Linked DNA regions of Notamacropus eugenii. The protein of the gene in region 1 interacts with the protein of each later gene in a pairwise test. Links are inferred from orthologs where the notes say so. Each region holds a gene or a part of one and is shown in the gene's direction. Other genes may lie near its edges.

The links.
Region 2: the proteins of SH2D4A (region 1) and SORBS3 interact in binary tests that used the Homo sapiens proteins (3 or more experiments, as listed by UniProt). The two-hybrid records come from large-scale screens. The link is inferred for Notamacropus eugenii from reciprocal best matches to the Homo sapiens genes SH2D4A and SORBS3.
Region 3: the proteins of SH2D4A (region 1) and PPP1CB interact in binary tests that used the Homo sapiens proteins (3 or more experiments, as listed by UniProt). The two-hybrid records come from large-scale screens. The link is inferred for Notamacropus eugenii from reciprocal best matches to the Homo sapiens genes SH2D4A and PPP1CB.
Region 4: the proteins of SH2D4A (region 1) and TACC1 interact in binary tests that used the Homo sapiens proteins (3 or more experiments, as listed by UniProt). The two-hybrid records come from large-scale screens. The link is inferred for Notamacropus eugenii from reciprocal best matches to the Homo sapiens genes SH2D4A and TACC1.

What each region holds. Positions count from the first base shown.
Region 1 is NC_092872.1:616,685,238-616,692,325, forward strand, and holds the start of SH2D4A (SH2 domain-containing protein 4A), read left to right. Parts: upstream 1-4,080; 5' UTR 4,081-4,377; intron 4,378-4,428; exon of another isoform or gene 4,429-4,646; intron 4,647-4,866; 5' UTR 4,867-5,036; intron 5,037-7,088. UniProt on the Homo sapiens protein: Inhibits estrogen-induced cell proliferation by competing with PLCG for binding to ESR1, blocking the effect of estrogen on PLCG and repressing estrogen-induced proliferation. May play a role in T-cell development and function.
Region 2 is NC_092872.1:612,075,190-612,083,079, reverse strand, and holds the start of SORBS3 (vinexin), read left to right. Parts: upstream 1-4,872; 5' UTR 4,873-4,990; coding exon 4,991-5,026; intron 5,027-7,890. UniProt on the Homo sapiens protein: Vinexin alpha isoform promotes up-regulation of actin stress fiber formation. Vinexin beta isoform plays a role in cell spreading and enhances the activation of JNK/SAPK in response to EGF stimulation by using its third SH3 domain.
Region 3 is NC_092872.1:530,449,580-530,456,548, forward strand, and holds the start of PPP1CB (serine/threonine-protein phosphatase PP1-beta catalytic subunit), read left to right. Parts: upstream 1-3,958; 5' UTR 3,959-4,529; coding exon 4,530-4,581; intron 4,582-4,892; exon of another isoform or gene 4,893-5,098; intron 5,099-6,969. UniProt on the Homo sapiens protein: Protein phosphatase that associates with over 200 regulatory proteins to form highly specific holoenzymes which dephosphorylate hundreds of biological targets.
Region 4 is NC_092872.1:622,022,861-622,030,853, reverse strand, and holds the start of TACC1 (transforming acidic coiled-coil-containing protein 1), read left to right. Parts: upstream 1-4,988; 5' UTR 4,989-5,383; coding exon 5,384-5,544; intron 5,545-6,554; coding exon 6,555-6,670; intron 6,671-7,993. UniProt on the Homo sapiens protein: Involved in transcription regulation induced by nuclear receptors, including in T3 thyroid hormone and all-trans retinoic acid pathways. Might promote the nuclear localization of the receptors.

The sequences.
Region 1 (7,088 bases):
ATCTTAATCATATGTGTAACTGAATTCAATGTGAATGTAATTTTTGATTACATGAAAGAGCCTTACAATAGTAGGTTCAAAATCCAAGCTCTAATTATCAATCAGTAAACATGTATTAAATGCCTACTATATGACAGGCATTGGGCTAGGTACTAGGGATTCCAAAGCAAATAGGAAATAATCCCTGTCCTCAAGGACCTTAAATTTTATTAGGGGAGGCAAGAAGTCTATAAATAAGAAAATATAAAATATATTCAAAACAAATAAAAGGTGGAGAAAGGGAATAAGCATTTATGTGGCGCCTATCATATACCAGGTACTGTGCTGTGTTTATAAATATTATTTACTTCTCACAAAAACCCAGGCAGGCAGGTGCTATTACGTATCCTCATTTTATAGTTGAGAAAACTGAGGCAAGTAGAGTTTAGGTCACACAGCTAGTAAGACTGAGGCTGGATTTGAAGGCTTCCTGACTTCTGGTCCGTCCACACGGCCACTAGTTGTCCCCAATACAAGCTAACACAAAAAATTATGGAAAGAAGGGTACTAGGACCGTGAGGAATCTGGAAAGTCTTCATGAGTCTTAAAAGAAACAAAGGCTTATAAGAGATAGGGGGTGGAGGAATGGGGGTAGGGAAGCAGAGATATCTTGGGCCAAGGCGCTGAAAGAGGAGGGTATCTTGAGATGAGAAGGAGCAAGAAGGAAAATCTAGCAGAAGTTTTGAATGTAGGAAAGGAAGAGAGTGATGGTTAATAAGGCTGGAAAATAGGTTGTTTATTTTATGCAAAATTGAATGAAATGATTCACTGGTCTTTTCAAGATGCCTTAAAAGCTTTCAGTATAGAAAGATAAAGGTTAAGGTGGTTTTTCCATGGTGTTCATAAATACAAATACATGGAATTTGAATTGTCTTCTTTTGGATATTGGAGGTACAGTCAACAAATATTTATTAAATATCTACTGTTTGACACGATGGGGCAGCTAGGTGGCACAGTGGAGAGGTTGGGCCTGGAGTCAGGATGACCTGAGTTCAAATCCAGTCTCAGATACTTACTAGCTGCATGACGCTAGGCAAGTCACTTAACTATTTGTCTCAGTTTCCTTATCTGTAAAATAAGCTGGAGAAGGAAATGGCAAACCACTCCAATATCTTTGCCCAGAAAAACCAAAAAGGGGTCACAAAGAGTCAGAACAACAATAACAATCTCCAGACACCATGCTAAGCACTGGGTAAAGAAGACCACCAAGCAATGGAAGCCCAACTATGACTCTCCTTTCTCCTTTTCTGATCCCCAAAGGCTAAGTGCCTAGAAACTCTCTACTATAGAGCTTAATACACCATTTCAGATTTTTCTCCCATTTTCCTATTTCCCCATCAAGAGTGGGGAGATTTTTTTCAATCTAGGGCCATTGAGTGGAGGCTTATATTGGTTAGGGTGGAGGGTACACAGAAACAATTGAAGGTCACACAAAAGACAACCTTATTTAGTTTTATTTTTTCTCAGAGCAATACAAGAGCTTCAAAATCACTTATTTTTAAAAATTGCAAAAAGAGGTTCATGGATTACTTCTACCCACTCAAAAGTGGATTACCTTTGTTAGATAGGATCACTTCTCAACTGGCAGATTCAATTAGAACTAGATATGAGCAAGACCTAGACATCCTCTTAAAGACAATAGATGATGTCTCAATTAGGTGCAAAGAAAATCTGTGCTGAGTCGGTGAAGGACTTGGCCATGCCAAGGAGCTTGTATAAATGCAGGAGAGAGTTCAGCTCTTCAAACGTCATAAGTCTGAGAGAGTAGAGGGAGTTGAAACATCAAGAACTGAGCTGGAAAGAATCGACAGCAAAGGGGCAACATGCAAAAGAAGAAAGAAAGTTGGCAGAGAAGAGAGAGATAGAGGAGGGCCTTTGGCCCTTTAGGATCTCAGAGTGCAAAACTTGGACTGATGCCATCAGTTTTACCTTCCTTCTCAAAGATCCAAAGTTCTAAAAAGAGGTCAGTTCTTTCCCCAACTTCCCCTTCTGGTATTTGTCTATTAATAGACACTGTCAAATGTTAAAAACATTTTTGCTTACATGTAACTGAGGGAAAAAATTAAATGTAAATTTAAAGAGGACACTGTAATATAACTCCTTTTCTTCTTTACATAAATGTTTCGAATAACATGAATTTCATCTCAACCACAAAGAGGTCAGGGGTTAGCTAGAGATAAACCTAATTATAAATTAAGGCAGAGAGCCAATCCTCTGCTGGGGATTTGGAGTCATTATACTCCTAACTTTTTGTTTTAATTCCCTAAAGCAACAGAGGAAGGAACCATATGAACCTAAGGACAACTGTATTACCCCTAGCCTTAAAATAAGCTACTTATTGTAGCAAGGTATTACACACATATAAAACTTTAAAAAAAAGCCAACAACCACACAGCCAATGCCATAGTTATGTCTAGTTAAGAAAGCATTGCAGGGAATAGGGGAAATGAAACAGAAAGGAGAGATGAGAGATGATAAGGTGGTGGGAAGAGAGAAAAGAGGCAAGAAAGGGGGGAAGGAGAGAGACGAAGGGGGAGAGAGAGATACGGGAAGAAAGGGAAGGCAGGAAGAGAAAAAGAGAAGGACTTAAAAAGTTCTGAAGTAAATTGCTTACAATTCAGTTTGACAGTTGGGTTTTAGTGGTTTTTCATTGGACAGCTTTGTAGTATGCAAAGTTGTATAAGACAATCCTTGCAATCAAGACGTCTAAAAAGTATTTTTTCAATCTAGGGCCATTGAGTGGCCCTAAACACACACAAATACCTTCAGTTCAAGGCAGCATGTGAAAAGTAAATCAGTTTGGCTGGATTTTAGACTCCATTAAGGAGAGTGATGAATGAAGAGCAGGTTTGAGTAAAGCTGTGAAGTACTTTAAAAGCCAAACAGGAATTTGTAGCTATCCTAGAACCACAGGAACCACTGGAGTTTAGTGAGCTGGGGAATAACGAAGTAGGTGCTTACATACATGAGGATCACAGGTCTAGAGCTGGACCTCAGGAACAATATAGTTGAACTTCCTCATTTAACAGATGAGGAAACCAAGGCCTAGAGAAGGTAGGAGATTTGTTCAAGGTCATACAGGTCATGCGGCATTTGAATCCAGGCCCTCTGGATTTACAGGCAGTGTTATTATCTTAAGTTAAGGTTTGAGGGATTGGACTGCATAGTGATAATATTATGCATTCCCATCATTGGATGAGTACTATTCAGACAACAGACATTGATGCTTTCAGTAAGAATTGATCTAGATCCCTCTGCTGTCCCTTTCCATTCTGAGATCCTAGAATTTTGATTCTATAATGTGTTGTTCATTAGTTGAACAAAATATAAGGAAATGAAATGAAATATTTTCCCAAATGTTTTCATTTTTCTTCACATTCCATCCTTTCTGGGTTTTTTATTTTTTTCTCCTCTAAATTCTAAGCCTGTCTTTTAATGTCATACCTTTATGGCTTTTGATAATGGAGAACTGTAAATTAAAGGGCAGACTAAAAGCAAATAGTCAACATTTAGGACACAGAGTAGAACTGAAGAGAGTGACCTGATTTTAAATGCCTTCTGAATGAGTCAAAGCTCAGAAAGGTCCTGTTTCAGCCACTACCCTTAACAGCACTTAGACGTTAAGCTGTAAAGTTTGCAAAGTGTATTTGATCTTCACAACCACTCACTGAAGCAGGTGCTATCACCCCCATTTTACAAGAGAGGAAACTGAGACTGAGAGAGGTTAAGCGACTTGTTTAGAGCCACATATCTGGAACAGAATTTGAACTGTCTTCCTGCCTCCCAAGTCCCGAACTCTATCCTCTGCACCACTGTTCCTAACTTTCATGGAGGTCTGGAATGGATGAAGGACTACCCCAGATAAAAATAAGTGTCTTAGGTACTGAAAAATAGTAAGGGAAGTAACCACATCAGAGAGTCGTAAAGGAGTGACTGTGAGAGGACCTCCCTTAAATTGCTAGTTTTGGAAGCAAGGGAAAGGTTCTCCTTGCTCCTTTCAGACCCAAATCCCCGGGGTTGCCCCTTTGGAGTCAGCGTCCATGCAGTCAGATACTTGGGGCTCAGCAGCGCAGAGGCGCCTGGTGCCTGCGCGAGCAGTTTGGGACTTTGCAAGAGGCAGGGGTGGGGCTGCGAGCTCCAAGTCATCTGGGTGTGTGGGACCCGTCCGGGGAGGCGCACGCAGGGACAGGGTTTTGCTCCTTCAGCTTTCGGACTTTAATAACATCGTTCCTGCCAAATTCTGCTGCCGCCGGCACCGGTCTCTCCCCCTCTCCCAAATTCGTCATTCCTCTGACAGCCCAAACTGAAAGACAGAGGTGCTTGGGTCGCCCTGTGCAGGTGAGTTCGGGATTACAGGTGGAGCCGGGGGTGGAGAGAGTTAGAGGGGACTGGAGAGGAGAGTGAAGTAACCCGGGGAAAGCTGCCGTGGGGTGGCACGCAATGGAGTGTTCTTGGGAGTGAAACGAAAAGTTCTGTGCTTGTGGCTGGGGGAGGGGGCATGAAGTCGGAAGAAAAGGCTGCCTAGGACTTGAGGCTGAGGACAGGAAGCGGGCTTAGTTTCCTGCCTTTGGCAGAGATCCAGGCAGGACCTGGTGAGGTGAGGCGAGGTGAGAGGGCAGTGTGGATGGGACAAGTCTGGATCAAGCGCTAACCACCCCTCCCCCTCTTCTGCACCTCCACCCCCGGTTCCATCCCCTTCCTCCCCTCCCCCAGGCGCTGGCACTAGGAGTAGCTCAGGTGTGTGGGGAAGGCTGGGGGCAGGATGGGGCTGGCGCACAGGTGTCCGATGTCTGGTATTTGGTGTCTGGTGTCCGCCGCCGCGGGCAGGCAGGCTTTGTGAGCCACAGGTCCTGATGGATGGCGGGGAGAGGAGGCGGGGAGTGCCGGGTAGCGCCTGCCGGAGGTGGAGTGGAAGCCGGGAGGCGAAGGTTGGAGGGGACTTCTGAAGCATTCCGGGGATCCAGCCTACAAGGGTGGCGCTGCGTGACCAAGCCTGGGTCAGTGCTCGTGCGTGCGTGTGTGTGTGTGTGCATGCTCATGTGCCAGGAGCCAGCGCTGCTTCAAGCTGGCGCAACTGTTCCCGGGACAACCGGGAAAGAACCTGTGGAGTCAGAAAATCACTGGGCTGTGGCGGAGAGAAGCAGCCTGGACACCCCCCTGGGGCCAGGCATCCGGACTCGCACCCGGGCTCCCAGAGGCGCACCTGTATACGCCTGTGGCTCACGGGAACGCGCACACTCACATTCATTCACTTTTTGGGCACAAGATCTCAACAGCCTCTTACCCCACCCCCTAGGCGGCCAAAAGCACACTTACGGAGCCCTGCTCCATACTAGCGGCATGGTGGATTTGCAGCCCTGGGAAGCTGGGTTATGGGTTCGAATTCTACCGGTTGATAAGTCAATTTTTCACTTGTGTGAAGTTGACCAAGTCCCTTTTTCTCTCTGAAGGACCTCAGTTGCCTGATCTGTAAAATGAGATTTAGGACTAGATAATCTGTAAAGATCTTTTCCATCTCTAAATCCTTTAACGCCTGCGCTTCGGGCACTTTTCCTGGTGCCTTTTGGATCACTTTTAGAGAGGTCTCCAAGCTCCACAAGCTTGAAGCACTCCTTCAAGAGCCAGCCCTTTGCTGTGCCCCAGTGCTTTGGCACCGAGTGTGCTCAGCAGCCCAGCGTGGGCGGCCTAGGGGGGAGAACTTGTGCTTGTTGATGGGCGGCTGGCTGACTGGGCCGGCTGGGTCGTGGGCGGTGTCCTCAGGCCTGGAGCCAAGTCCCTTGGTAGCTAGTGTTGTGGACAGAATGCCCAGCAAAGCCGGTGGCCCCAGGCAGGCAGCTTGAGGCCTTTCCTAACCCCGAGAGCTGGCGGGGAGGTCACCGGCCAGGTACGCTGGGGAAGAGGCCACTTGCTCTAGAGGATTGCTCTGAGAGGTTATATAGGTCTTACCTGGAGGCAGCCAGTATATGTCCGAGGGGGGATCTGAACCCAGGTCCTCCCAAGTCCTTGGATGGCTGCCCATCCATAAGCTGGGCTGCCTCCATTTAAAGTTTGTACTTTCCTCACAACAGTCAAGTAGGTCTCAGTGTTACACGTGAAAACTTGTATTACAAAGGGGTGTGTTATAAAGCACATATGAAGAAAGGCGTATCTGCATCCAGAGAAAGAACTGATAAATAGAAACATGTATAAAATAATTATGTATGTGTGTATCCATGTATGTATATATGTGTGTATATATATTATATACATATAGATATACACATACATACACCTATTTGTGTCTAATGGTAGCCATGGAGGGGGAAAAAAGGGAAACAAACGCATTTAATATGAATTTTGTTGTATATTTGAAAGGAACAGCAAGTGGTATATAGTATATTTGTAGTTTCATGTGCAATCATCTTTTTTATTGTCCCGTGTTGTGGAAATTCTTGTTTTATTCCATAAATTAAAAATAAAATACATTTTTTAAAAACAACACCAAAAAGAAAAAAAAAGAGGAAAGAGTTGCTTGGGGAAAGAAGGAAGCAAATAAGTTGTATGTAATAGACATGCAGTTTCAGGTACAATCCTTATTTCTTGCCTGTGGAAATGTTTGTGGGTATCTGTCAAATGCAGAATAACAGAAATTTAAAATCCTGAAAGAGAGAGAAAAGGGGGGAGAGAAGGATTTGAATTAATTTGATTTGGTGCCTGGTCTATGAATTGACCCTAACCCTTGAAAAGTCCTGAGAGTGTCTGAGTGTGGGTAATCTACTTTCTTTATGAATTAGCAAGGTCAGGGGTTTAGGATGGTTAGGCTGCAGACACAACGGCCTCTGTTGACTGTATTTGAAGTATTTCTATCTTGTTATGATCTGCCAAAGCTTAAGGTACATGACTGTGGCATTCTAGGGCCCAGGGTCACCTTCCACCCCTTACTGGAAGCCTTGGCAGAGTACTTCAGTGGATCAGGAAATCAGTGGGGAAAAACCCTTGTTAATCACAGGTCTGTTTCCTTACTTTTAAGCTTCTCTCCTCATCTTAAATATTTGGTATATACTACATAA
Region 2 (7,890 bases), about 4.6 Mb from region 1:
GCACATAGAAGCACTTAATAAATGTTCAGTTGAATAATGCCTGGTGCTAGACAAGTACACCATGTTCAAGAATTTAAACTTCCTAGATCTAGGCACTGTGATTTAAAATGTTCAACCAATACACTCCTAGAAGGGCTTTTCAAGACCTTGAAATAGATTAGTTGTCCTATTTGTTTACTTCTCTTCCCATAGGCAGCTGGCATAGAGGTGGGTCATCAATGGGATCTGGCAAGTAACATAAACTTATACCAGGATGAAAAGATTCCCAAGGGAAAGAAGAGAGCCCAGAAAACTAAAACGGAAAAGGAATGATTGGTGCCAGGGTATCCTGTGTGATCTGATTTTCTGATTTATCTTGCTGACCATTGTGTCATTGTGGTCTTGCCCTCCAGAGCAATCCAAACCACTGAAAAAAGAATGTTTTGTCATAGGAAGATGGAATGTAGGGTGTATAGGGAGCAAAATACCTAAAAATAAGGCATGGAGCCAATTTCTTTGTAAACTCAGTGGATTCTGGTAGAATGGCTTTCTTTCTCTCTGCTAGTAATAGTAGGAAAAGATACTTCTTCCCCTAAGAAATGAATGAAGATCTGGACTCCTGTCTCTTGCAGTTCCCTCATACTTCTGCATTCCAAGAAAAAATATTTGTAAATCCTATCCCTCTTAGACTTGTCTCACCCTTCACATTGTAACGAAAGTCCACCTAACCTGTCCTCTTTCCTTACTTCCCTTGGTGACCAAGCTTGGCTTTCAGAATGACCTGTTATTCCTGTATTTGCAGTTACATAGCTCTGCTCCCCAGTCCCTCCCTCTGTCAGTATGAACAACCTCCCCTGCTCATGGCCACAGATTCATTGCCATGGCAATCTCTTGGCTGAGCCATCTCCTGCCATTAGAGAGGCAATGTGGTCTAGTAGAAAGCTCTCTGGACTTGGGAGTTGGGAATGCTTGAGTTTAGACCCTATCTCTGATGCTTATTAGCTGTGAAAGCAGATTCTGAGCCTCAAAGCACTCATCCATAAAATGCTTGTAGCCCCTGTCACCAAATCACCCTCAAGGCTCCCTTGTTAGAGCCTACCTCTGACACATACCGGCAGCATGTCATAGTGGGCTCCTCAGACAGCTGACTTTTAAGTTACTGACCAGTTGCTGATGTTTGATGTTTATCATGGAGGGGGAGCATCCCTCCCTCTACATTCTCTCTCTCCCTCCCCCTCTCCCTCCCTCCCCCTCTCCCTCTCCTTCCCTCCCTTCCCCCCCCTCTCTCTATCCCTCCCCTTCTCCCTTCCTTGGGGCAAAATATCTACCTGACAGGTTCCTGAGGCTTCAGTGACGTATGGTGTATGTAAAGTGATTTGCTAACCTTCAAGTGCTGTTATGTAAATGCCACCTATTATAATAGGTGTAGAGGACGGATAGATTTCTATTTACACACGTTATATAACATGCAAAAGAAAAGAAAAGACAGCAAAGGAGGTGGGATAGCTTTTGAGGGCTTGAAGCAAAAAACACCTGTGGCTGCTGCATCAAGTAGCTGGGAAAAGAAGAGCAAGCTGTTGTAGTGCTGGGCAGCTGGAACAGCAGTAGCAAGCTCCCCAAAAACAAATAGAATCCCTACCCCCATCCCTCCCCTGGAGGGGAGGGGAGAGAAAGAGTGAATGCCTGATGAAGTGAGCCAGAACAATCACAGCTGAGACCGGACGGAGGAGCTGAGAAACCTGAGGCCTGGGGTTTCCAGATGGAAGAGTTTATCCTGTCCTCTCCAAAAAGATAGAAATCTGTAGGTTTCTCCTGCTTCATACTCTGGGAAGCTCTGAGTATTTCCCTCACTCCCTTGACCTCTCTGTGAGGCAGTATGGGTGATAGAGAGGGCATCCTTTCCAGCGGCTGCAGCCAGGCAGCCGGCCTGGTTAGAGGTTACAGGAGAAAAGAAGGAAAAAAAACCAGGAAGAGAAAGTGATGGTGCCCAAATGCACACATGACGTGCTTTGTTTTGCCTGCTTCGTGTCATTTAATAAACCCAGTTGAGCTTGGGGCCTTGAATTGGCAGGCCAAAGTTCATTTACATAGGAATCAAGAAGTCAGAAGAGGGTGGGTCCATTTAGCCCCTCTTCCACAATTTACACCCCCCTCCCCACTTACCTCCCCCCAGTCTGTTTACTCAAGTGCCTATTCCCACAGTGATGAATGAGACTGGTAGACCATCCTCAAGCTCCATGACCCTCCCTCATGACAAACAGGAAGTCAGGACATTAGTCAGCTCAGCCACAACCTCTGTGTTAAATATTTGTCTTGGAGTCTAGGCTAGAGCCCTGGAGAATAAGGGGACTCTGCTGCTGGCAAGTAGTGTTCTGGTCAGGATCACAGGCAATCAAGGATGTCCAGTGCCAGCCCTGGAGAGCAAGTAAGGAGAAGGCAACAGATCCCTGTGCAGGCCTGGGAGCCTTTTTGGCTGGTTTCCCCTGGGTGGGGATAATGTTTAGGGCAGAGGGAGTGAATGAAGGCAGTATCTTCAAAGGCAGGGAGATCGGGGTGGATGTTCCCAAGGAAGGGTTAAGTCCCAGGCCTCTTTAAAAAAAGATCATTGCTTAGTCCTTGTTAGTTCCTCTTTTCAACGAATCCTCACACAATGCCCACCCACTCCATCCCCTAACTTTTCATTGCGAAGAAGAAAAGGAGTGCTCTAAACCCCCCACACACTTCTGATTAAGTTACAACAGGGAAACCAAGTTAGAGATACCAGTCACCACTGTTCATGTTCATGTTCTTTGGGAATGGATCCCCATTCCTGCTTATCCCTTTCATAAAATATCTCATGTTGGAGGAACAAAGGGCCTTAGAGAAGTTTTACTCTCTCAGTGCACTGTGACCTAAAGAAGGAGGAAGGACCTACCATAGGTTGGGCTCCTAGGCCTACTCTGTGGCTGCTAACCTCAGGGTTGAGGGAGCTGCCCAGAGTTCTTCAGGCTGGGATGCCCTCCTCCGGAGTCCTGAAGCCTACCTCCTGATCATTCGTGGTATGAACAGGGCAAGTGCTATATTTGGTACAACGAGTGGGTCAGTGTTATAGTTCTTGTTTTATAGGGAAAGAAACAGGCCTGGCAAAGAATGGAGCCCAGGTCTCCTAGTTCCCAGTTCCAAACTCTTTGCACTGTACTGTGTATGTCATCCCATGAAACTTGGCAATCCCATTTCTTTCAGAAGCTGGATTGGTGCCTGTGTCCCTTGGAACAGAGGGGACATGGAGGAGGGTATGGGTTGTAGGAGTGGCCTGTTTTCTGAGCTCCCCTTGGGATTAGAGCTATTTCTAAGGTGCAGAGAACAGTGTGAGGGTTCCAACTGGGACTTAATGTCTCTGGAACATGTTCCCCTGGGATGGTCAAAGTCAACCTGGTTGCCTGAGCTCAGCTTACAAACAAGTTCTCTTTTCTTCCTTTCCCCAGGCCAAAAGCTCTTTAAATACTCCCTGCCAAGATCCAGAGATGGAGCATCACTGTGCTTGTTCCTGCCACTCCTCCAGCATCCCTGTTTCCTCCCATTCTCTCAACAGCTATGGTCAGGGGGATCCTTCTCCATTCCTTTCTGTCCCTAAGCTTCATCTGACTATTTAGAAGACCAAACAGAACCAGAGTCATGGATGAAGGCAGGAGGGATACTAATGAAAAATGGTAGCAGCAGCACAGGTTAAGAGGGAGTGGAATGAGTCTAGGGAGTCAATGGGCGTAGGTTCTTAGGAGCAGAGCCAGGAGCAACAGGAACATCGGAAAGACAACAAGATCAAAACGTGTTGTCCGCTGCCTGGGAACATGCGGACCACCCCACTACCGTCAGGGGTGGGCCTCCACCCTCATCCGCCCTCCCAGGCTGGCTTACCCCAGCCCCTCCCCTGTACCATTTCCTTAAGAGAAAATCCTTCCAGCCCAGGGCAGCCTTCCTCCATGTGTTCCCGCTCTATTGGCCCATTGCATGCGTATGTATATGTGTAAACGTACGTCTGCCAAGTCCTTGTTTCTCCACGGCTGTGTATATGTGTATAAATTTCACTATTCACACCTCTTTTATACCTCTAATTGTGCTGCAGCCGTGCCCTGTTTGTGTCAGTCTCTTTGCTTCACTGTCTCTTATTTCTGTCTCTGGGGCTCTCAGTTTCTATCCCTGTGTCTCACTGCGACTGTCCGTCTTATTCATCATTCCTGCACTAAAGGCGGGCTCCAGGACCAGAGGAGCACACCCCACACACCCATTCTGGAAATGTTGCTGGAAACTCTGAGTAGCCCCACTCTGGTGCCAAAGGCTCCACAGGGCACAGAAGGAAAGCTGCTGGGAAAGGTTCTTGTGGTCCCCTGGGACCCCCAGGACTCCTCCTCCTCTAAACACGCCCCACCCTGATCACTGGGTGATCTCCCTGCCTCTCCTCTGCCTCGGTCCCACCCTTGAAATGAGAGCAGCTCTCCCTTCCCCAGGAGATGGGCACTTGCTTGCCTATAGCCTCCTGACCAAATTACACCCCCCCTTCCAGTTTTCCCCCACCCCAACCCCCACAACACACATAAACACACAACATGAGGAGGGAGGGGAAAAAGCTACAGACAAAAAGTATGACTTTTCCCTACACCCCACCCTGCTGCAAACAGGCCAGAGATTGGAAACTCTCTGCTTGGTTCCCTCCCTTCTTTCTCTCTTCCCTCCCTTCCTCCCTCTCTCCAGCTTGCAGACTCCCTGCTGATTTGACTCTTTCTCTTTGTTATCTCTCTGTCCTCTCTATCTCACACCCACACTCCAGTTCCCCATTTTCTCTGTGACTCTGACTCTGTCTCACTGCCTCTCCTTCCTCCCCTCCCACCCACCCACCCACCCTATAAGAGTCTTATTCTGCCCCAGTCACGAGGGAGAGAGAACACACCCCAGACTTCTCCCCTTCCTGGCAGCCTCCCCAGAGGCCCACAGCTGTGGGCTCAAGGTGGAGGCTGGAGGGAATGCTTTCTCCCTCATGGACTCTCCATCCTCTCCACCAGTTCTTCTGCAGGTAGGTGCCAAAGAGGAGGAGGAGGGGGCAAAGGAGGAGAGGCTGAGGTCAGGGAGGGGAGGGATCAAGGAGGGAAGAACAGCCAATCCCTCGAACCAGACAAAGGGAAGGCAGACTGGCTCCTCCCTCTGGAGTCCACAGAAAAGCAGCTGGGCCCTCTTCCTATGCTCAGGGAAACTGAGGTACAGAGAAAAGAAATTGGGAAGAGGACTGGGGTCATCTTGCTCCTAGCACCTTGCTGTTCAAAGAAAATATAAGCTTACCTGGGAAGCCTTTTCTTGTCTTCTTGGGGGGAAATGGGGAAGAGAGAAGGAGCTGAGATTAACCACCACCACCCCATTTATTTTCCCATGTATTGTCCTGGACAAGGACAAAAAACCTCCAAGTAGTACTACATTGATTGCTGTAGTCCCAGAGTCAAGCCTTTAAATTAAAGAGGACTTGCCAAAAGGACTGGAGAATTCTGTCAAGCTCACAGGAAGTAGACAGAGTGCTGATCTGGGAGTCAGACCTGGTTTACTTCTGATCCCATCCCTGCATCATCTGGTGGGATGGATGTAGATCAAGGCCCTTTGCTTCCATTTCTCCCTAAATGAAGTACCTCTCCCTCTCTGTTCCCACTTTACCCCTACCTCTAACTCCTAGGGATACTGGTGGTCAAGAATGTAGAGGCCTGAATGGGCAAAGTGTATGTAAATTCTTATTGCTTTAAGGGACTGGGGTAACTGGGCCCATTCTCCCCATTAGGGAGAATGAGGTAGGATGGGAAAGGAAACATTGAGAACATTGTTTTAGGGGGAAAGGGAATATTGGAAAACAGACACAGTCTTTGCCTCCTGAAAACAGCCTAGTGATCAGGACTAGGGGTGGGGACTAAACTTGGAACTCCCAGATAAGAAATTCCTTCTCCTAGTGCATATTCCCACTTTCTCTCTGAGTCATAGAGAGAACTGTGGGGTTAAGTGACTAGCTTTGGGTCACACGTACAGTAGAGTCAGGATGGGAACCTTCCTAACTCCAAGGCCTTCTCTGCCACACTGGAAAACAAAGGAATTGTCCAGCCTGCTTGAAGGGAAATTATCCACTCTGAATTCCTCCTAGAGGTCAAGGAAGTCAGAGAACGTCAAGAGAAAGGAGAATCCAGGGTCAATTGATGATGATGATGATATAACTCAGAGCACTGAGAAGTTAAGGCCTGATACTTCCAGGCTGTCAGCCCTCAGCCAAGCTCTCCTTAGTCATGCCTCAGTGTCCCCCTGCATAATGTTTAGAAAAGAAAGAATTGGAGAAAGCTTTGATGTGAGTTGATCTGCTGATGTGGCATTGCCCTTAGTCCTAATTGAATCCAGCTGGTGAATGCCTTCACTTCCCACTCCTCCCCACCCCCAACAGTCTAATGGGCACAAAAAAGCAACAGGCAAGCTCCTGCTCCAAGCCCCAGCAAGTATAAGTGGCTCACAATAGGGGGCCTGCTTCCCTGACCTTCCTGATTTCTGGGACTTCATTACAAGTGAACAAGAGAGTGACAAGTTCCCCATCCCATGCCCCCCCAGTGCACTGCTCATGTGAAATCCCCACTCTGGCCATGGGCATGCATCTTCCCAGCATACAGGACTCCCTCTTTTCCTCCTTTTGCGAATGCTGCCCTTTGTGAGTGTGGAAGCCACCCACAAATGACTTGGACTCAACTCAGGAGGTGCCAGTGTGACGCAGGCAAGTCCTGTGACTCTAGCTGGGGTGGGGTAGGGTGGAAGGAAGTCCCATGTCAACCCATGATTTCAGCCTACACTTTGTATTTAAATTTTCAAGAAGAGTCCAGGTCTCATGTCGCCATCACCCAGCACAGGGACCACCTTCCCTTCATCTTCCACCTGCTTCCTCCCTTTCCCCCAGCCTCCTCCTCCCCCTCTCCAAGTCTTCCACCTTCTCCTGCTGCCTACCCCTATGGGGGCTTTCTCCTCACAGAGCTGATCACCTCTTCTACACCCACTGCTGATTTCCAGAGATAAGCCATTCTCTACTATGGCCTCATTCTGTGGATCAGCAAGAACAGGTCTGGAAGACAGACAGATAGACAAAAAGGGACAGAGACACAAACCTAAACACAGAGACAGAGCAAAGAAGAAGAAACAGAGACAAGAAAAAGAGACAAATACAGGAAGGAAAGCAGAGGGAAAGACTTGTAGAAATGAGTAAGGAGAAAAATAGAAAGGTTAAGAAAGCAGAAGGAAAGCAGAGAAGATGAGACAGACCAAGGGAGAGATAAACGTACATATAGAAACAGGGAGAGAGACCAAGGGAGAGAGAAATATACAGATAGAGAGAAACAGTCAGAGATAGAGACAGAGAGAGACCAAGGGAAAGATAAACATGCAGAGAGAAACAGTGAGAGAGAGAAAGAGAGAGAGCATCCAGAGCCCAAGATTTGAAGGCAGGCCAGTCCCCATTGGCATTCTGAACTCCCCAGAGTCCCTGGGAAGGAAAGCTGAAATAGAAAAGGCTATGACCATTTCATGCTTAACTCCTGACTCAGGGAAGATGATTTCTACCCCTCACCCAAGAGGCACTGCTTGGTCTTGGTACTAAGGGGAGGGACCCTGCCTGTTCTCACTTGGGGCATATAGCCAAGCTAGACTAGTTTCTCTCCTTCCTTCCTTTGTTGCTGTGCCCAACAGCTGTTTCCATTTCTCTTTTCAGGGTTAGGAAGTCATAAAGTGCTTTGAGATCCCCATGGGGTATGCCTGGATGATTGGATGACCCAGGCATTTCCCATCCTCCCCTGCTTCTTGCCATCCCTCTTCTCTCTTACCCTTTCCCTCACCCTGGTCCTCCACACCCCCCCTTCCCCCCACCCCTGCAGTTCC
Region 3 (6,969 bases), about 86 Mb from region 1:
AAGGTCAGCTCCCTGAAACTCTTAAATGTGAATTATCTTATGAGTCAATCCCCAAGACTTGTACTCCCCAAGAAAATTTCTTTTTCTGGCTAGAGGACTAGATTTTGGCATCATGATGCCAGGAACCCAAAATCTCCAACTCTTTAACATAGGGACCTTAAATTTGGGAATATCACCCATAAACTCTCCTTTGGGGTCAGAGGTTAGCATCTATAACTTTTAAGTTCTTCTCCAAGATATACCATTATTGCCCCAATCATTGCTGCTCTCATACTGAGTAGATAAACATGTTCAACTGCAATGTGCTTTTACTTTGTTAGCCATTAATGTCTTTTAGTAGAGATGTGTCTAGGGCCCAGGGTTGGCTAGACACAGGGGTATGATGGAGCCACTTTTAATAACTTGAGAGAGCCTCCTGTTAAATTTTCAATATGAGAATATGTACCTCAGAAATCCTTGAATGCTTCATATCAGGGCTCATTTATTGTTTTGTTGATTGTCTAGACTTAAGAAGATGATGAAGAAAATGTTAATTTTGCAGATTAAGCTTAAAGGTTTGTTGTTTATAATTTTTTCCTGGTGCTTAAACATTTGCCGCCAAACCCCTGGCTACACCCCTGAAGAAAGGCCAAAAGAACCCAAGAAGCTCTCTTAGCTCACTTTTATGGGCCAGAACAAAGGAGCAGCTCATACTACAAGACTCCATTTTCCCAAGCTTTGGAACCAACCAGTTCTTCCTAGGTAGTCCAGGCACATAGTCATGAGTTGTCTTTTATCTTCTAAACAAGGTGCTAATGGACATGTCCATAACTTAGTGGGAGAGACACAGACAAACCAAAGGCTCAATAGCTTTTGACTGACTTGCTATCATCCCTAATTTAAGAGCCTCTTCAGGTAAGGTCTCTCTGAAGAACTTGTGTATCACTTGTGAGACATGAGAGACTTTGGCACAGGACCACCAAGCATGAAGGGGCCACATCAAAGAAGGTGCTGTGCTTTATGAATAAAGCAGAATTGAGGTAACTCAAAAGAAATGCGAGATGGGCAAACTTAGAGACATCTGTACTCCAAAAGTTCATATGGACTATTTGTATCTGACCTTCCAAGCTCATATTGGTCTGATCAGCCACAGTCAGACACACTGTACCCTGGCTCCATCATAATGATGTTATTTTGGTCCTCTTTGAGAAGGAACGACAACAACCAACCAACCAGTTTATTAACAGAGTTGTAGATTAACTGGTTCCTGAGCCAGTCCCTGTTTTCTCATCTATAAAATGAACATATAGGACTAGATCATAGACAGGTTCTTAGCCAGGAGTCTGAGAATTAAAAAAAATTTTTTGATAACTATATTTCCGTATGATTGGTTTCCTTTGTAATCCTACATATTTTATTTTATGCCTTTAGAATGATGGTTCTGAAAGAGGGTTCATAGGCTTCACCAGACTGCCAAAGAGTTTTGTTGAAGGTTAAGAACCACCGAACTAGATAATCTTTAAGATGTCTGCCAGTCCTAACACACAATTACTTAATTCAATTCAACATACATTTACAAAGCAATTATGGTACTAGAAAAAGAGACAAAAAAGGAAACAGTCCCTGGCTTCAAGGAGCTTCCATTGTATGGGGAGAACACAACATATGCACAAGTAAATAAATACACAGTCTATGCAAAGTAACACAAAGTAATTTCAAGAGATAGATCATGTATTATCCACAAACATGTTATTATCAAGCATTTACTATGTGCAATGTACTAGATCATGTTTCTAAATCACTATTCAAGGCAGCTTCAATTTGATTATTTTTTGTTCTGCAGAAGAAAATGTTTTGTTTTGTGCTTGTTGAAAACTCAATATTCACATGTCAAAGGTGAGTTGTGAGTTATGAGGGAAACAAAACCAAAACTGAAATAGTCCCTATTTTCAGGAAGATTATATTCTATCAGGAAACACAATGGGTACACATATACCATTTCAAGACTGGTGCAAATACTGCATGAGACGGTCCTCTTTGATGTAGAGAATGATTACTTGGGGTGGAGTTGGTGAGAGCCTGGAAGAGGAGAGATATTTTCTGTCTTCCGGTTTCTGAGAGAAGACGCACAAAGTTCTAGGCTCTCTTCAGGGAGAGACCCCTGGGGAGAAAGAAAAGAAAATTTGAGAAACTGTCAACATGTAGAGAAGCCAGTCTCTTGACATGTCCCAGATTTCTAGAGACTTTGATGAATTTCCCCTTAGGATTCTCTTGGTTGAGCCATCTCACTCTCAGGCGTAGAAGTCATTCACTCTGTGTATTACTTGGTACAGTCTACTCTGTATAATATCTGTGATTTTTGTTTGCTATCTGCTTGGATAAATAGGTTTACTTGCTATTCAATATTTGCAATAGTTTTGTGTAACTAGCATCTGATGGGAAAGGAGTCAAGCCTTCAGATATATAATCACCTCCTTTAATGGGGATGACCAAGAAGTAACAAACTTAAAAACAAAGTGTTTCCCCTAGATTGGCAATGTCTAGGGCGGCACAGAATTATAATTCCAGTCTGGTACCCCCCTCTCCCTTTAGAAAGCACAACAAAATTTTATGGCTCCTTCTCCTGCCTCCCCCTAAAATCAGAACTCAAAGTCTCCTTTGAAAGGTAGAAGAGATTTCAGAGTTATCAATTCATGTCTTCCTGTCAGCTAAATTTAGAAAATCCATGTGAAATACATATAACCTATACAGTATCCTACAAAAGTAGATACAAAATGACTTTTTTGAGGGGGGAATAGCCATGCCAAGAAAGATCTATGGTGGTGTTTTGAGGTGAGTCTCGGAGGCTAAACCAGGAGATTCTAAGAGGTGGAAGTAAGGAGGAAAGTGCATATCTGCCTTAGGTACAGCTAGTACAAAGGCATGGTGAAGGGAAATGGAGTACCTGGGATGTGAGAGAGGCTCATGATGGGGAATAGTGTGTAATAAAACAGGTCAGAAGTAAAGTTTAAGAACCAAAGGCCTTAAAGCCAAACAGAGAAGTTTCTATTTGCTCCTAGAGGTAAGACAGAGCCACAGGAGTTTACGGTTATATGGCGAGACCTATGCTTTAGGGGAACTATTTTGGTAGAGTCCAGTTGGTTTTTTCTGCCCTTGAGTCTCCACTTCTCCTTTTAAGTTCCAACTAAAATTCCACTTTCTATAGGAAGCCTGCCCTAACTCCTCTCATTTCCAATGCCCTTCCTCTTTTAATTATTTGCTATTTGTTCTGTTAGCTTGCTTTGTACTCATTTGTCTACGTTTTCCCCCCAAACGCGCATTAGACTGTAAGGTCTCTGAGGGCAGAGGCTATCTTTGGCCTCTTTCTGTACCCCCAGCTTGGCACTAAGTAGGGTAGTAGACATTTAATAAGTGTTTCTCCATTGATCAATTACGAGGCGCCTGGCACGGACCTGCTTCATGTACTTGAATGAACACCGCCCCCCGATCAAGGACAAAGAGACTCCGAGGGGGAAGGGGCCCATCCAAGGCCCTACAGGGAGTAAAAAGGCCAGGCCCCGAGCCCAGGGGGGCTGAGCCAAGCTCCCCTTCGTCAGCGTCGCAGTTCTAGGCTACATGGTTAAGCTCCTCTGGGAAGCCAGGTTCAACATGAACAGACTGACAATGCCTGAATTTTCCTGCAAAGGGCAATCTTTTCGGAAATCCCAGTCTCCGTTTCCAGTAGCGCTAAACTGTGGTCAACGTTCCCGGCAACTTCTCGTACGATTGAGTTGCTCAGGAAACGAGGGACGGAGACCAAAACTGGAAAGGGAAGGGTGGGGGGGAGGGGACGCAAGGAGTTTGGGCACTGCGCTTGCGCGGCCTCGGCCATCCGGAGAGCCTGGGAAGAGAGTGGGGGAAGGGCTCCCTTGCTTACGTGCGCCTAGCGTAAGGGGAGCTTCAGCGTCACGCAAAACGGCTGAGCCTCTGGGACGTCTTGCGTCGTCGCAGGAGAGTCGGTGCGTTGGAGCCGGAAGGGGAGCTCGTCGCACCGGCGCGGCGGAGAAAACTTAGTGCGCTTGCGTGATGGGAGGGGAGCGAAGGGGAGAGGGAGGAGAGTTGCGCCTGCGCAGCAGCAGTTTCGGCTTTGGGGGTGGCGGGCCGCGGGGCTAGGCTTGTGGCTGCGGGTGGCGTCCGGGGCGGCGCTGCTGAGCTCTCTGGAGCTGGGCGGTGCCGACGAGGAGGAGCCCGGAGGCGGCGGCGCTGGCGGCTTGTTCCTGACGCGGCTGCGTTCGTGGGCGCTCCCTCCCTCTTCCCCCCGCTACCCCCCTGCCTCTGGTTCACTTATTTAATTATTTATTTTCGATCTGTGTGTGGGTCTGTGGGGGGTGAACGCATCCTGCTCTGCGGGGCGGGGGGGAGGGAAAGGGGGAGCCGGGGCCGAGCCCGCAGAGGGGTGATTCGCCTGGGAGCGCGGGCCGCCCGAGCCGTCGTCACCACCGCCGTCACCGTCACGACCGCCGATAAGCCCTTGTTCCCGCGGCCGGGAAGGAGAGTCGAGCGCCGACAAGATGGCGGACGGGGAGCTGAACGTGGACAGTCTCATCACCCGGCTTCTGGAGGGTGAGTGCGGGCGCCCCCGGGGCCGCCGCCCCCTCTCCAGGCCCCCGAGCTCCGGGGGGGCGGGGCGGGGCAGCGGAGGAGGCTGAGCGGAGCCTGGAGCTTGGCGTGACACCCCCCCAATCCCCGGGGATCGTGGTATCCCGCCGGCCCGGGGGGTGGGTCGGGGCTGAAGTCCTCTCCGCTCGGCGGGGAGCCGTGCGAATTGGCGGGGCCGCCAGGGGGGCGGGAGGGAACGGCTCGGTCCGAGCGCGGGCCCCCTTCCTCTCGCTTGGGGGCGGGGAGAGACTCGAGCTCGGGGGCTCCCAGGAAGGGGGGCGACCCCCCGGGGTGGGAGCCGAGAAGGAGCTGGGAGTCTCGGGCGTTCCGGACACTCACAGGTTTCCCGGATAAATTCTGAGTCCTGGTCTCCAGAAACTGACCTTTGGTGGCTCCCCTGTTCCCTCATGGGGTAGCGGGTTCCGCTGCGCTCTCCTTGGAGGCTTTGGATCCACTTTTATTTTCGGGCCGTTTACCGAGGGTAAAACCTTATTGATAAAGAAGCGAGAGGGGGCTGGGGAGAGTTGAGTAGTCCAGATTCTATCCAAATATGTGATCGGTTCTATGACTAGATGGTAGAGTTTTGGGGATGGCTTTCTCTCCCCCTTCTGGGACAGATGCGACAAGGAGTGATCGACATTGAAAATCTTAGCGAAGTAGTCTCAGTAAATAAAAAATGGTGGAATTGGGTTGTGTGGCTTCACTGATTCACATGAATTAGAGTTACTTTTGTACATGTCACTCCTAATTAGTTTTGTGCAGAAATTGGAAAGTAGCCTCCCCCTCTTTTTTTCTTAAGAATTTCAGTTAATAAATTTCGTTGACTGTGTGTTCCGCTGAGCCATGGAGGATTTTTTTTCTTTTTCCTAAAGGGATGTTGAAAAAGTTTAAAATTATTTCTTATAAAATGTAAAAAACTGAATTGTACGTTTCAGTTTCATTACCGCCTTGGTCTCCCTAATTACCCCCCCCCCCCCCCCAAAGAAAACCACCATCTATTCCATAACTAATTGTTTTGCCTTTTAGTTATAGTAGAAAAACATTTTAATGCTAAGAATCCTTGTCAAATAACAATACCAAAATGTAGCATCAACTACCCTAATTTGTTTGCTTCCTAAATTACGTGAAAATAGTTGATACAGTGAAAGAGTACTACTTGCTTTTGGGAGATCAGCAAAATAAGGTTTATTTACTTTTTGGAAAATTTCTTTTTCTAACCTGTTGTATCTAAAGAACTAATTAGTTCTGTATAGTTATCTAGTGTGACTAAATATATTCAATCCAGATGTGAAAGTCCGTAATAGTTTATTGCTTAAATAGGAAACAAAGTTTTGCTGTGAACTCTTTTTGCCTTTTCCTCCACGCTGTCAGTTATCCTTGGGAGGCCCCCTGGTGCCTATAATAAGTGTTAACTTCTTAACGAACTTACAACCCATCTGAAAATTTTTCTGAGGTTGAAGTCTTTGCCTGATAGGGGCTTGATTTAAAAAAAAAATCCATGGAAAATAAATTAGTTGGAGTAGTCTGGAAAGATAGGTATGTCTTCTTATAGAAGGTGTTGGGCTGTGAAAATGGCACAGCCCTATGGGAAAGAGCTTGATTTAATCCTTGAAATGGCCTGGCGAGTGATAACATAATAACATGCCGGAATCCCCAAATATTCAAATTTTGTTTATGATAGTGAAAAGAACTTTAGTGCTCAGTAAACATGAATTCTTCTCCTTTGGAATTAAAGTAAATTGTATTAATTCTGGATGGCCAAGATTATATATAGCAACAGTCCCTAATATGGCAGGAATACCATTTACTAGCTATGTGACATTGGACAAGTCACTTCACCTCTTTGTGCCTCTGCTTTCTTATTTGAAAAATGAAAATAATTTTTTAAGCTGCGTACTTCATGCTTTTGGGAAGATCAAATAAGATAACAGATGTGAAAACACTTTGGAAGCTAGAACACATTATGTGTCAGGCATTACCCTTATGGAAAAAATAAATAAATATACACATGCGCATATGTATACACATGTACAGATATATAAAATCCATTTTTTAAAGATGTCCATACTTTCAATGAGTTGAATCATTAAATTTATGTAGTCAAATGTTGCTTTTAAAGTAGCTTGCTGACTTGAAACAATTTGTTAGAATTTTGCTGACCTCATTGGAGAATTCAGGTCTTTCTAACCCCATTGGTACAAATTCTGAGATTGGTTTTGGATTTTAGAAATATGAATTAACAGGACCTGTGCTCTCTTGATATAGAGAACTTTGGACTTAAACCATTTAAGATTTTTTTACTTATTTATGTTCACATATTTTGTTATGGCAGGGTACAATTATTTATAATAT
Region 4 (7,993 bases), about 5.3 Mb from region 1:
TCTTGTCTCAACTGGTTCCACAGCCTAACTTGTAAGAAAAATGTATTATGACTTGAGCACGAGGAATTTTATGAAAGACGTGATTGAGGACTTACAATGTATGTATGTATGTATGTATGTACAATGTACATGTCTGACCTACAATGAAGGTAAATCAGTCATGTAGCAAAGAATGAAAGGACAGACAAAGATGCAACCTGCTGGGAAATCTAAGATAGTAAAAGAACAAGAGTGGAACCTTGAGGGGAAAATGGATGAGAGTCACATGAGGGGTTCTGGCTTGTATCTCTGGAGAATACTTTCCCACAAGGATGAAATCACAGAGCTATTGAAGCATGAAATTCTTCTCTCAACACATTATTTCCTTAAACAGTAAATAATTGAACTTTATGGCATAAATCTAAACTGCCAGCTTGTTGTTTTTGAAAGATCTCTGATTTTATCCATTCTTTCCAATAAATCACCCAGACATGATCTACCCCCTCTCATGGAAGCCTTCCCCAACAGAGAGACTAGAAAGAGAAAAGGGCACAAGAGTTATGGGGACCTGAATGAGAATCCAGACAAGGAGAATTACTGAGAAGGAACAGTTGTACAAGTAGGAGTAGAACCAGGAGAGGACTGTATTAAGAGATAGCTCAGGGAGAAGAGAATGTGAGAGAGGAGGGGTTGGTTGGCAGTGGCAAGTGCTCCAGAGAGGTCAAGAAAGAAGTGTATACGTTTGTCCTTCGTTGCTGAAGGAAGACCATGCCATCAGAAAAATGGTGACATGACTTGCACTTGACTTTGTTTTGAGTGAGGGGAGGGCCGTACAGGTCACCAGCCTCACTTCTCCTCCAGAGCCATCTGAATCCAGTGACCAGATATTCAACAGGATGACTGGAGATGACCCAGGAAGAGGCAATTGGGGTTAAGTGACTTGCCCAAGGTCACACAGCTAGTGAGTGTCAAGTGTCTCAGGTGAAATTTGAACTCGAGTCCTCCTGACTCATGCACTAGTGCTCTATTCACTGGACTACCTAGCTGCCCCTTCAAGAAAGATGAAGACTAGGTGACAGCCATAAAACTCAGCACTTAAGAGATGGTTGGTAATCTTGGAAAGAGTGGTTTCAGCTAAGTGAGCCTAGAAGCCAGGTTGCAAGAGGTTGAGAAATGAGTGTGAGATGAGGAAGCCTGTGAAAGGAAGGAGAGATAAATGATGATAACTTGAAGGGATGGCAGGGTCAAGTGAATTGTTTGGAAGGATGGGGGAATTGTGGAAATATGGGTAGTCTTCAGGCAAAGCATTCTGGGGAAATTTGAGATTTGGGTCATCCTGTGTGTAGTGATTACACCTCTTAGTCTGGTGCCACTGATTAAACCCTCTCTAACCATTCTCTGGCAGCCAGGTGGCACAGTGGGTTGAGCACTTGGCTTGGAATCGGGAAGACCCATTTTCATGAGTCAAATTCAGTCTCAGATACTTACTAGCTGTGTGAACCTGGGTAAGTCACTTAACCCTGTTTGCCTCAGTTTCTTCAACTGTAAAGTGAGCTGAAGGAAACGGCAAACCACTTCAGTGGAGTCAGGGAGGGATTATTTCTACTCTCCATTGGTTTGTCACTTCAGCTCCCTCTAGCAACAGGAAACAAAAAAACAAAGTTCTCAGTTTTTTCTCCTAATTTTTAATTCCATTTGAGAATGGAGCTTTAAAAGTAAATGGGATCCATCTAGCTTCTAGCAAAATTAATTCATATCTGTGGATGTCTTTGACATTAGCTCTCTCCTTATTAATGATCCTCTAGCCTCAGAGGAAAGAGTCATTTTAGGCCATTTTCTCACCTGTTGAAGAATCCCTGAATCTGAATTTCTTAAGGGCCTCCAAGACCCCATCTTTAATAGCAGGGACATCCACAAGAATCCTCTCTAAAACATACTCAACAATTGATCATCTAGTCTGTCCTTAAATAAAGGATAGTAACAACTCACAATTATGTAAGTCTTTAAGGTTCGCAAAGTGTGAACACAGTAAGGGCTTAATAAAAGCTTGTTGAATGATTTCTTGTAAGGAAAGAAGGGAATAGACATTTATTAAGTGGGGGAAGGGGAAAAGGGAAGGGAATGATCATTTATATAGGACTTAAATATGTGCCAGGCATTGTGGGAAGCAATTTACAAATATTATTTCAATAACTCTAGGAGGGTGGCTGCTATTGTTACCCCCATTTTACGGTTGAAGAAACTGAGGCAGATGGAGGGTAAGTACCTTGCCCAGTGTCACACAGCTAGAATTGTCTGAGGCTGTATTTGAATTCAAGTCTTCTTGACTCTATCCACCGCAACACCTAGCTGCCCCTCTCCCCTCGTTATTTTCTATTAATCCTGTATACCGCTTGCTTTGTATGCACTTGTTTGCATGTTGTCTCCCCATTACAACGTAAGCCCCTTGAGGGCAGGGATCATCTTTTGCCTCTTTTTGTATCTCCAGTGCTTACACTGGGCTTAGCTCTTAGTAGGTGCTTAACGAGTGTTTATTGAATTGAAGCTGGGTATTTGAGCTTGTGCCTCTTGGGGCCATTGTAATGTCCTCCTGTATTCCTTTTCTTTAACTCTTCCGTGGCAAAGGAGTGAGCTGGTAAAATGGGGGAAATATCCTCCACATTGAAACAATAAGAAAACAGAGGGGCTCAGCTGTTCCTCCTCTGCCTCCTGGAGTGGAGAGGGTTTTATTTTTAACACTGCTTTCACTCAGGCCTGAAGCAGCTCACTAACTGAGTCAGAAAGAAAGTGATGGAATGAGGCAGAAGCCTTATTAATTTTTTTTAAGTGAGAGAAATGTAAAACTGATGAGCCCCTAGAATACCCTATTGATTCTACTGTGTAATTCAACACCTTTGATGTAAGGCTTCAGACCCTCTCCAAATGCTGTTTTGTTTTCTTTGTTTTTTTGTTGTAATGGGAGGAGGGGAAAGTGTCAAATTCCATCAGATCACCATTTATAGGGTATTTGGATTTTTAGTGCAAGAAGGGTCCCTGGAGTCATGTTTTTTGTTTTTTGTTTTTCCCCTGGAGTCATCTAGTTCAAAACTCCTATCTGATAGATTGGGAGAATGTTAATGATGATTTTCCAAATCCCAAGGTTAGTAGGAAGGGTAACGTCATCTAACATGTCTTGGGGGAATTGGGTTGCTCCCCTGGCTAGGGTAGGGTGGGCACCGCCTGCATGTTTTCAGTAAGCTTGCCTTGCTCATTTTAAAGGAGCTTCCTCCTTTAAGAATGGGTTATCCTCAAGACTCTGATTCATACCCTTCTGTCCCAATTTAGGGCCTCTCCCTATTACCATCCTTGACCCCCTGGAGCCTTTCTAGCTTTGGGGATCTGGACTTAGCGGAACTGATTAGAGGATCTGAGGTTCTTTGGGTCTCTAGTTGACAGGGTTGAAGTGAAGAGTGATAACCTTTTTATTTATTATTAGAGGTTATTTTGTGAAACAAAAAGTTGTTGGAATGAGGGAAGGGATTTTCCATTTAGACTTTCAACTTAATGGGAGATACATTATGGGGAACTGGCCTTTTTACTGTTGGGCCATGTGGTTGTAGGGAATTATTATTAATTTTGAGAGTGTGTGGGGCTAGAAACAAGTGAAGTTACTGGATACTTCTTGCCCAGAGTATGCTCCAACCATACTGTAATGGTCATGTAGTCTTTCCTTGGAGACTTCCAGGGATGGGGAACCCTGTCTGTCAAGGCAGCCTGTCTGACTCTTCCTGATGCCATATTGGGTTTTCTTGGCAAAGATACTGGAATGATTTGCCATTGCCCTTCCCAGTTCATTTTACAGACAAGGAAACTAAGGCAGACAGAGGTTAAGTGACTTGCCCAGGGTCACATAGCTAGTAAGTATCTGAGGCCAGATTTTTGAACATAGGGAGGGTCTTTCTGACTCCAGGTCAGGAGCTCTATCCACTTACTACCTACTTTCCATTCCACTTTTTTCCTACCTCCACCCTTATACTTACATAGAGTTTATATTTGCCCTCTAAAACTTCCATCCACAGCTCCTGGTTTGCTTTCTTAGACCAAACAAAACCAGTCTAAGGCGCAGAGTAGTCCATGGAGCTATGGATTTAAGAGTCAGGGAGACCAGAATTGGAATTCTGCCTCAGTCAGATACTACTCTCTGAGTGATCCTTAACTTCTCCTACCCTAAGTTTTCTAATCTATAAAATGGGGAACAATAATAATGCAGTTTTCCGGGTTGTTGTGGGGATCAAATGAGATTACACAAGGTGGCCTTTAAAATGCCCCTTGGGGCATAGTTCCAAACTTCTCCAGAACGGTTGGACCGCAAGTTTCCACCTTCTGAAGGAAATCTTCCCAAACCTCTCCATTCCAGTGTCTTCTTTTTGTTCACCACTTCCTATCTATCCTGTATATAACCCATCTTGCTTTGTACATATTTGCTTGCTTGTGGTCCTTCCTCTTTAGACTGCAGGTGCCTTGAGGGCAGGGGCTGGCTTTTGCATTCGTGGCTGTCAGACTCCAGCTCATTTCCACAGAGGAGGAAGCTGAGGCAGGCAGGGTTAAGTGACTTGCCCAGGGTCACACAGCTGGGAAGGGTCTGAGGCAGGATCTGAGCCACCCAGCTGCCTGCCTGGCGCACAGTAGGCTCTTAAAAAGTGTTGACTGGATAGTGGGGGAGGTCTGCCCATTCCTGTGACAGTAACTCCACCGGGTGGTGAGAACGTGGGGAAAAGCAGACTCAGAAAATAGGTTTCCTGTTGCTATGGAGCAGGAAAGGGGGTGGGGGGTGGAGTCTCGATCTCTTCCCCCCCCCCAAGCCCCCATCAACTTCTTCCCCCAAATGAATCCCAGCCCGTCTCGGAAGAGTCCACCCGCGGCCAGGGAGGGGGGAATGCGGCCCCTCCGCCCGGGCCCCCCTGCGCCTGAGTGGTACGTGCCGAGGGGGCGGCTCTCGGAGCGGAGCGCGGCGCAGCCCCGCCCAGCCCGGCCCGGAGCGGTCTCCTCTCTCTGGCAGCCAGCTGATTCCTCCCGCAGTTGGGGCCGGGGCGAGCCGCGGAGGAGCCGGGGCTGGAGGGCGGGGGGAGGGAGGGATGAGGGGGCGTGAGGGGGCGGCCTCCTCCCGCAGCCTCGGCGGGCGTCCCTGAGGAGCGGGTGCCGCGGCTCTCCGGCCCGCGCTCGGCGGCGCCTCGGGGGCCGGGGAGGAAGCCAGCCGACCTGTACGTCTCACCACATCCGCGCTGCCCCGGCCGCGGATATCCACAGGCGGCTGTCACCGTTTCCCTCCATTTTGAAAGAAACAGGGGATTAAAAAAAAAGGATTGCATCTCCCCTGCCCTCACCTTTGCCCTCTGCGGGGCCCGGGCCGGGGCTAGCCGCGCTCATGGCCTTCAGCCCGTGGCAGATCCTGTCCCCGGTCCAGTGGGCCAAGTGGACCTGGTCCGCCGTGCACGGCGGAGGGGCTGCTGATGGCGAGGACCGGGGGCCGGAGGCGGAGGCCGAGGAAGACGACTCCCAAACCGAGACCAAGTCTTGGAGTTTCAGGCAAGTATGCAGCATCCCTAGCTGGGCCGGAGCCCGGGATTCGAACTCGTGGCTCCCGCGTCCGCGGGCCATCGGTTCCATGCTGGTCTTGGTCTTTTTCCCTCCTCCCACCCCCCAGCCTTCGGAATGCCCCCGGGTTTCTGTCGGTGGTGGTGTGCAGGAGTGCTTCCTTCCCTCCCCCTCCCCCTCCCCGACCCCACCCCCACCCCCTCCAGCCCCTGGAGCGGGCTGCGGCGCTTCTCCGCTCTCTCCTCCCCCCGTTCCCCTCCACCCCGTTTCTCGATCTGGGTAATGTCTCGTTTCTGCAAGCTTAGAGACGCTAATGAGCTCGAAGGCTTTCAGTGCGCTGGACTCACGGTTCTGGAACTTGGGGAGGGATCACTCCATCCCTGGTGGATTGGGGGCCCGGGTAGTGGGGTCACCCCAAAATGCAGCAGTGGTCGTAGGGAACTCAGAGGCAAGGCTGGCCCGGTATCTTCAGCCGGGGACCATGAAATGGTCGCCCGCTGGACGGTAGGCAAGACGGGGGGATCGACTTCTGATCTCTCAGGAGCAGGGACCATGGTTGTGCTCAGAACTGTGGTTGTCTGCTGGTCAGGATGAAGGGTCATGCCCGCTAGGGGAGAGACCCAAGCTCCAGCCTGGCCCGGCCCGGCCCGGCCTCTGGAAACTGCGAGGTTTCAGGTCCCTGTGTGGTAGCCTTAGTGTTGGGAAAGAAGCGCAGACCTAAGGGAGTGTGTGTGGGATAGAGCTCCGGCGGATTAATGTTCAGCGAAGGGAATCTGATAGGATCCCAAGGAAGCCACTAGTGAGGGGACTCCGGCCATCCTGAAAACCTGCTTGCACATGTGTCTGCTGTGAATCTGTGATGGCCACAGGCTTGTCTATCGGAGGAGGAGGACAGTCACACAAAATGCGGGCCTCTGAGCTGTCTGGACGTTTAAAGGCTGTGCAAGGATGTCCAAAATAGCATTGAAAGTGGTAATTCCTCATTTTTCCCCCCTCGGCAGCTCGGATTCTGAAGGTAATTTTGAGACTCCTGAAGCGGAAACACCCATCCGATCGCCTCTAAAGGAGTTCTGTGATCCATCCTTGGGATTAGAAGGACCTGGGGCCAAAACTCAAGGTAAAGAAAGAGATCAGTCATCAGTCTTCTGCTTTGGTTTATGTGTATTTTTTTTTCCTGTACTGGTTAAAAGAAATCTGGAGGAGAAAGGGCAGGAAACAATGTTTCTCAGGTACACGTGCACTTTTTAAAGGGCTTGAATGACTTTGTATCATCTATTTGCTCCGGGAGACAGGTATTAAACATACTGGTTTATTGAGTAATATTGGGGGTGGGTGAAGTTCAGGTGGTATCTTTGGCCATTTTTTTGTCTCCCTTTGCATTGATTGAATCTCTTTTATGTGATCGTCATGTAGTTTGATGATAAGTCATTTTTACCCATGCTTTTACCTCCTGCCTTTACAGACTTGTAAAATGTAAGTGGTAGCTTACTGCAGATGGATTCTGATCTGTTTTCATGAATTCTGCAGATGAACGTTTTCCCAGAGGCACAGCTGAAAGCAGGGTGTTTTTAAAGCAGGAGTTGCAACTAATTTGATTTGGAATTCCAAGTCTAAAGAATTTCTTAATTGTGCTTCTCTCTCACACATAACACATCTCACACCCACCCCCATGAGATTATGGGAGAGCCTTAATTTGCTTAGGAAAACCTGACACAAATAATCATGGCTCTCCCTGACTCCTAGAATCCCTAATCAGTACACCTTGAGACTATCCTTGGCCTACAGCAGCTTCTGCTGCTGCTCCATCTAATGAGCTGAAAAAGTTATTGGAATGAAGGCTGTTTTGGTATTTACCTCTGTGGATCTCGGGTTTTTAGAGCTGGCTGGGAATCTTAGAGATAAGAGGTAGTCCCCACACCCACCTTTGAAGGATAAGAAAACCCATTTTAATCTGAAGGAAGTATCCTTCATAACCCTTCTCTCTCACCAGAAGGTCGCTGGAATTGTCAACATTGTATTATTCAGAGGTCAAGTTGTCCCCGTTGGGAGGGGTGGGGGGAGGGAATTGGCTATGTGCTGTCCCTTTTCTTTTTTTTCTCTTGCCTTCCACTATAGGACCCTGTTATATTTAAGATAAATTGTTAGAACTGGGAGGGTTTTACAGTGTGAACTCCACATTTAAAAAATTAATTTTTATTTACATCTTGTTTTTATATCAACTTAATTTCCAAATATCTCTTTTCCTCTCCCCTACCAGCAAGCATTTTTAAGAGAAGTTCTGCAAAACTAACACATCAACTGAGTCTGAGTACTTGCAAGATTCCATAGCCATAGTAGTACCCTACAGATCTCTTCATTTTTACAAATGAGAAAAATAAGTCCCAGGAAAATGAAAAAATTTGACCAAAGTCTCGAAAACACAGAGCCAACTAATGGTGCA